2 linked regions of the Drosophila melanogaster genome follow. The protein of the gene in region 2 interacts with the protein of the main gene of each other region in a pairwise test. Each region holds a gene or a part of one and is shown on either strand. Other genes may lie near its edges.

Region 1 (3,908 bases), on a different chromosome or scaffold from region 2:
ATAATAAAAGAATATCAACTTTCGCACTTGATTTTGTCATATAAAAGCTATCGTATGACCACAGAACAGCTGCATAACATAGCAACCACCATGTCTGCTATTCGGGATGGCTATACCACCATGTCGTCCTTTTTTTGACGGCTAACTGTGCCACGGAAACTTCTGCTGCACCGGCAACTCATTTAAGTTCTAATCACCTGCAACGACGACAATTAATTAGCTGGCTTTGGCCAACGACAGCGGCAGCAGCAGTCATTAGTCTGAAGGCCCATCGGTACCACAAGGGAGCCATGATGCTGCAGCTTCAGCTGGAGCTGAAGCAGGAGCAAGAGTTGAATCCTTAGAGCCCTGGCAGCATCTGATAAACAACGAGCAGTGGCAACACCAGGAGAAGCAACACTAACGGCAACATCTGCATAATGCGGCAAAAGGAAGTTGCTGTCCGCTCACCCCGAAGATGTGGAAAGGTGTTCCTGGACGATACTTAAGCGAAATCAGATGCGGCAGACGGATATTAAAAGCAGGCGACAACCGCAGGAACTGGCAAAATGTAATTATGTTGTGAAACTTGTCCTTTCAAACGCTGTCAATTGCAGCACAGGCGATGTCTTCAATATAAGATATTAGTATGTGGAACTATATAGCCAAAAGCACGCAACTCTCATCATTTAAGTAGCAAAGTTTGGTTTTATTATAAATGTCATCTCATCTTAGCTCATTGCACTTGGCCCGGATCATGTTGAAGGTAACCGTGCCGACGCTTTGTGCCGCGTTGTGGAGCAGCTCAAAGATGTGCCGGTTGCGCTGACCCTGCTCCACGGTCCGCTCGTGCAAGCGACGCAGTGCGTCCGAGTAGGCCGTGTACTTGGCCTCGCACTCCGTGTCCAGCTTGAAGACCTGATACAGCTGCTGCAGATCGTACAATTGGCGTGCGGTCTCGTCGTATAGCAAACTGGGTGACTGTGGCAACAGCTGCTCCCAGTGCTCGTGCACCAGGTCTAGGAATTCAAAATTGCTAAAAAGAAAGATGACGAACAGGTCCAGTCCCTTGGTCTTCAGCTGGGCGAGAAGATGTTCGGTGATGTGCTCGCTGCTCGATGTGTCCCGCATCTCCTCGTAATCGGTGCGCAAGTGGTGCTCCAGGTACGCATACACCCGTTGACGTTTCTCGAAGAAGTCCTCCGTGGCAAGCATGACGTCCAGCTGCTGCTGCATCTTGTCCAGCTTGGCACTGCTCCCGGCCAGATCAGCATGGTCACCGTCGATGATGTCCTGCAGCAGGGAACGCAGTATGTGCAGGTAGTTGTCGATGATTTCGGCGCCGGATAACTTGACCCGCTCGTACAGCTGCGCCCCGAACTCATTGAGATCCAAGCCGGTGGAGTTCACCTCCTTTTTGGTCAGATTGAGTTGCCCCAATGCCGCCCCGACTGTCTGTTCGTTGATCAGGCGACTGCCGCGATGAGGAGCCGGTCGGTCAAGTTGCTGGCAGAGGCGGTGCATGCGCATCATTCGGATCTCTTGTGTGCTAGTCTCCTCGGCAGCCCTCAGCGTGGATCTGACTCGGTTCAGAAAGACCAGGTTGCGCAGCACAATGGTGTACTCCATATCCGTGTCCAGGTGCGGACGCACGTCGAGCAGCTGCTTGATGAGCGTCACCTTCAATTGAAGCTTTGGTGTTGCGCGAGCTGCACTCATCTCTTCGGTGTAGTTGGCATTCCGAGGAATGCGTCCTAGACGATCCAGGTAGTCGTTGAGACTCGGTTCAATCCGCTGTTGCACCAGGTCGCTTAACTCGCGCAGAAGCTCCAGCTGGAAGTCCTTCACACCAAGATCCAGCTGGGGAGCAACAGGATCCGCCTGCATGAGCGGCAAGAGGCACACCCATGGCAGCCACCACTCGATCATCATCTTAGAGGGAGCTGGCTCCAACTGATTTTGATTGCAGAAACTGCGTTGTTGTCGCCGCCAGTTGGCTGATTAGACGAAGGGGCTTAGATTGGGGTCAGTAGTCAAGTCGGTGATGCGGTTAGTTCGTCTGATATGCCAAGCCGACCACTGACGATTAACCAGTGCGAAAGCGAACTGCGCTCAGTTCGACAGCCTTATCGCTACGGAGCTGGCACTGAGAGAAATAATGGGTAATCCAATTCGTGCAAATTATATTATATTTTATTTTCTGCTAATAATCGAACGCAAATTAAGGACAGCGAAAATAAGAAAGGAAAGAGTTCAGCGCTGATTACAATTCCTCTGTCAGAAACCAGCACAATTTAATACATAACTTTTTATTTGAAGGTAATGCATTTTTATCCTTTCCCCATTTCGACAACTATTGTTCGTCGAAAGGGCATTAGTGGCAACAACTGACTGGTGAATCGGGATAGGATTGAATGAGGGAATCGATTCGCTGTAACCTGGTGCCCGTGCAACTGCAAATGGCCAGGACATTGGTCCCTACAATGTATCAAATAGTCAGCGCTCCTTCCCAATTTGTCTGTGCGGGCAATTGTTGACCGAACTCAAACTGAGCGCGTGTGCGGGATACCTATCACAAGTTAGCTTAAAGTTGCAGACTGCAGACTGCTGCCATTTGACGACAGAACTTCAGCGGAATCCCAAATGGGATGTGGCATGAATCCACATGGATTCCAAATCAGCGATGCTCGTCGTTCTTCATTCTATGGCGCAGCTTGATTGAAGTTCGTCAAATTGATTGAACTCATGCCACTTCCCCTTTGCCAACTTTTAGCGAAAACACTTGATTTCGATTTCGTTCGAACATTTCTGTGCATTAGCCTTTAATATTCGATCAAAGGGTATCTGCAACCGCATAATGGCCAACACCTTTTAAGACGAAACCCAAAACGCAAAAAAAAACTATGGAAACGGTTTGGCAAAGAGCGTAAAAATGGGGAAAAATGGTTAAGAAAAAATGAAAGGCACACCGATAAAGTTTTTAGGAAAAAAAAAAATGTAAGAAAAAATAAAAGATACCAAAAACCTGAAGAAGAAATTTTCCAACAATTGCACAATTGGCATGGGCTACGCATTCGCTTCAATGGCGAACGACCAAGACACTTTGATTCAAACTGTGGCCAAGGACAAAGGATTTCTGGAGGACGAAAGCCAAGGAGTCATGGCTGGAGGAACGGCTGCCCTCCACATTGCTGGCACTTAAGTGACAAAATCTATTCGCAAGAAAGTCATCTGGTTAGGGTATCTACTAGCCCATAGAGCTTTGCTCCGGTCACTCATGGTCGGTCATTTTATTCTTATACTTCGCCAGTGATGCCTTTGAGAAAAACTTTGCCACTTTTTCCATCATCGCCGACAGTTTTCCTTTTTTTTTTTTTTGTCTTTCTGTTTTTTCGGTAACAAAGCCGAAACTAAACTTTCCAGCGCTTTGCCAGACGGGTGGAAATTCTCGCTGGCCAGGGGCGTGAAAAGCGCTAAAAGCGTTTTAATGATTTTAAAGGAGTTAAACTTTTGTTTTTTTCAAAACACTTCTTATGCGCTTTCTTCATTGTCCGAAAAAATTGCTCTTCTTTTTGAACAATTGTTTTGGTTATACTGTGCTTTGATTTTATCGCTCATCCCGCGCGTTGACCGAGCATCATTCTAAGTTACATTCTAAGTTGTGCTCTTTTATATGAATAAATACCCTGTACTCCTAGAGGCATTGGGTATGCACACATCTATATCCAATAAAGATGTTGGACAGTCATCTGTATAAGAGAATTTTAAGTTCTTTCAGCTACATTACTTGGGATCAGAATTCCCAAAGTAAATACAAATGCGAAAAGTACTTAATGCAAGATTTCATGATTTCCATTTAAATCGAAGATATTGTCATAAAATTATCTCAGTGTATTTATCTGTCCTTCTATTTTGCTTCATTGTTTACT
Region 2 (3,877 bases):
GAGAGAGACAAAAGAAGACATTGTTTTTCCCGGGAATCAATTACATCCTCAGTGCGCCCAAGGAACTCATCCCCATTTCCCATTTCTTCGTCCTTTTCACTCCTCTATCGACTCGCACTGGCTGCAAGCGATTTTTTTGATTAGCTTCCGCCCACACAGAATTCTGGCGCGGATGTGGAAGCCAACATTCGGAGGGGCACTAGTGCATGGCGGGCAGCAAAAGGAGCAGCAGCAGGTAATAAAATAATAAAATAATAAAATTCTGTTTTGATTTTTGCCTTCCTTCCCCTTGGATTCCCTTGAACATTGCTTCAAGTACGATGACGTACACGTGCCCAAAATAAGCAACAGCTTGCTAACAGCATTTGGTTGGCCAAATACGAGGCAGCGGGTATATCGAACTTAACGAGATGGATGCCCAATAATTCTCTTTTGTTCGAAAATAACATAATATTTTAAATTCGATTTAAAAGCAGAGAGAACGCTACAATCAAGTCCCACGACTATCAGATACGGAGTACTTTTATATAATATATATATACTTCATAGTATCGGTTAGGCCCCTTTGACCAATCACGATCTAGCATACTCCAACATTAAAGAGGTATTAATATATTCCAAAATGGTTTATTAAAAAGTATCTAAATAGACGAAATGAACAATATTTTAAACACGTGAATAAAGGGTATTTGCCAGCTTGTAAGTAAAATGTTACGTTCGTTTTTCGTTTGTATTTTTCGATGATTCGCGTGTTATGGCAACCAGTTGTTGAAAAAGCAAGAAGCACATCAAACAGCATACATGGCCTCAACTCCTGGCATCGGCGAATCCAATGCGATGCCTCTCCATGTCGAACTCAGTATAGTATTTGCCCAAAAACACATCCCCCAGAATCCAGAGCGGTCCACTGGGCGATGGCAGGTCCACGGCAATGAACGCCGAGGAGCAGATCCTTCGATCCTGGTAGATATCCCGAAAGACATACTCGTGAGACTCCAGGAAAAATCTACGCCCACCCAAGGTAAAGGTGATTTTGGGCAGGTCTGGTACGCTGTCGCACGGAACTAGAAACTGTCCAAAGGAGGAGGGAGTTCCCCCAATGGATTCATTGATAAGTATAGCCTGGTCGTAGGGCAATGCCAGGAAAGAGGTGCCCGTGTCGATAATCACTTCACATCCCTGCTGACATAGCTCGAGATTCCGGATAACTGCTGAATCCATTTTCACCTGCCAATAGGCACGATGGCTCACCTGGACATAAGTAAAGTTGCCGGTGTAGTAATGCGGATTGGATCCGCCAAAGAAGATGGCTCCACCATCCTTTTCGCCATTTCTGCTAAGGTAAACACTGAATATGGGTTTCGTTAGAAGTCCTTGCTCCATCATCGCATAGAATGGTGGCTTGATGCGCTGCATAGAGATGCTGCGATAGGCCAATCCAAAGATGCCGTCGAATTTTGCTGCCAGGAAGATGGGACCCGGCATTTCGGTGGCCTCCGCGAAGGTCTGATCCCGAATCTCTAGGCCAGCCACCCGAACGGTGTCGGTGGAAAGGAAGCCGGACAGACTGCCGCTGCCATAGTGGATGGCAAAGTGGTCTCCCCTCACCTGGTGACTGGTCGACCGCTTGGCAAAGTAGCGATTGTGCACACGACAGGCCACCATTGTGGACGCACACGTGGCGGATGGCACCCAGAGATTCGAGGAACCCGTATCGAATATCACCTTGAATGTCTGCGGCGGCGTACCAATGGTGATGGGGCCAAAGTACTGGGCGTCTAGGTAATTGCTCAGTGGTGTGCTCTTCACCGCCGAGTTCCACTCGCCACGGAAATGGCTGACCTCCTCGGCGTACTTTAAACGCAGCCGGTCCATCCGGATGCCCAACTTCTCGAAGCGATGACGGGCGGAGGGGAAGCGGCGCAGGGGAACGCGGTACAGCTGCAGCTTGCAACTGACCGGATGTTGAAACTGTACCGGAAGTATGAAGAGCACCGGAAGTAGCGAAACGAGCAGCCACATAATGCTATCAAAAGCAGTCGATAACCAAGTACTGTTGAAAACCAGGCAATAAAATATCAAAGCAAAAAGGAAAGGCAACTTGCCGCTTTCTTTGTTGTGTAATAAATTGTGTTTAAATATTTCAATTCAGTATGCCAACGCTTCGATTACAGATATGAAGTACATTCCTTAAGGATGAGACATACGGTTACCCTTGGAGAAAAACCTTTGAAGGAGCTCAAATTTATAAATATAAATAATAAATCTGAAGATTGTTGCGAAACAGAAAAGCACTTTAAGCAATCGAAATATAACGGCACGGCTTGAGCATTTAAAATATGTTTAATTTTTCTCGAAAAAAACTCGATATACCCAATTCATTGAAATAACCGCCCGGCAGCATAAAAATTTCCATGAAAATGTAATTGGAAATGTGAAACGTCTGTGTGTTGGCAGCAGTTTGGAATCGAGCTGTGATCGAATGTGTTTTTGTTGCTGTTGGAAAAGACGACGAGGAAAACCTTTTCAATGCAATGTGAAAAGCGTCTGTAGGTGTTGAGTATATGTTGAATCGATGTGTGTACTCGACTGAAAAAAAAATATGAGTGTGTGCACCGTTGACAGGGTCTTCTAATTGTACTTGCTGCCATTCTGGGGAGCTGTTTGATTGCACTTTCATTTGTGCACTGCCATTTGCGTAAATGTGTGCTCAATTGCTTGGATACGGAATGTCTATCAAAATGTTCATATCGTTTATTGAAGTTGTTTTAAAGCAAACTGCAAGGGCCTTTGGCGTACCCATCATACGTCTCGATGATCCCCAATTAAAGTGTCAGGATAATGCGACAATAACAAAGGCCTTCAGCAAAGAAGGAGAGAAGGACACAAATCCCGAAAACCTCTTCGGACGACCTTCTCGCCCTGAAAGCCAGCTGTCAATGGCAGGCCACACCTGTGCTAATGGGCCGGGGAATATGACAATTCCCGGGGCTCCGGCTCCTTGGCATTATTACTTTCAGCAGAAAGTCGCTGAGGGCTTGGCGGTACACTTAATTAGTGCATTTTCCTCGCCGACCGAGGCCTTTGACCTGGCCTAAAAAGGATTGGCAGAAGTACAAGTGTGAGCTCGCACCGTTTAATTGAAGGCGACTTTCTGGCCCTGGGCAAATAACATTATCGGGTGAATTGAAATTGCATTATGTGCCATTAGGCAAAGCAGGCCCTCATTGAATTAGGCAAACACAATTAAAGTTAAGGGACACGGGCAAAGTTTGCGCTTGTGAATCCGGGTAGCTGTCAAAAAAATCCGTCAGTTGGCCAGAGTTAAAGTCAAAATTCATGTCGGTGACAGGAAGTCCTTGAAAAGCTGTCACCGAGTGTCAGGAGTCAAAAGAAAACTTGTGTGTGTGGCAACACTTGTTGATTTTTGCGAAAAGAAACGAAAAGTTTGTCGGTTTCCTTATTTTTCGGGCTTTTTTTTTTTTTTTTTTTTGCCTTCCTCGACCTGTGTCCACCGCAAGGCAAAAAGGTAAACTCTGTCTCAAATTGGAAAGCGGAAATTGCAGGCAGCACATTTTGTATTCTTTGATGCTTATAAATTAGGTTTGAATGGAAAAACGGTAAAACCCGAGCGAAACAGAGGGGAAAACTGCTCCCTGCTGGATAATATGAAAGAGATAGAGTTCCTCGAATGTCCATGTACATGGCAGGAAAACCCGAAACCCGCAGCTGGTCAAAAGTTTTCGCCAAGAACTTTGGGCAAAAGACGATGATTCAAGGCATGTGGTCCAGGCCAAGTCTTTTCCACATGCCGAAAAAACCAATTATAACGTAAAACTTTGACTCAGCTCTCTACATATATATTTGAGACTACATG

What was found.
Region 1: the proteins of CG10104 (region 2) and CG42369 interact in a two-hybrid assay, tested with the Drosophila melanogaster proteins (one large-scale study listed by BioGRID).

The regions. Positions count from the first base shown.
Region 1 is NT_033779.5:6,395,183-6,399,090, forward strand, and holds CG42369 (uncharacterized protein), read right to left. Parts: upstream 2,068-3,908; 5' UTR 1,912-2,067; coding exon 706-1,911; 3' UTR 671-705; downstream 1-670.
Region 2 is NT_033778.4:14,388,945-14,392,821, reverse strand, and holds CG10104 (uncharacterized protein), read right to left. Parts: upstream 2,127-3,877; 5' UTR 2,023-2,126; coding exon 808-2,022; 3' UTR 613-807; downstream 1-612.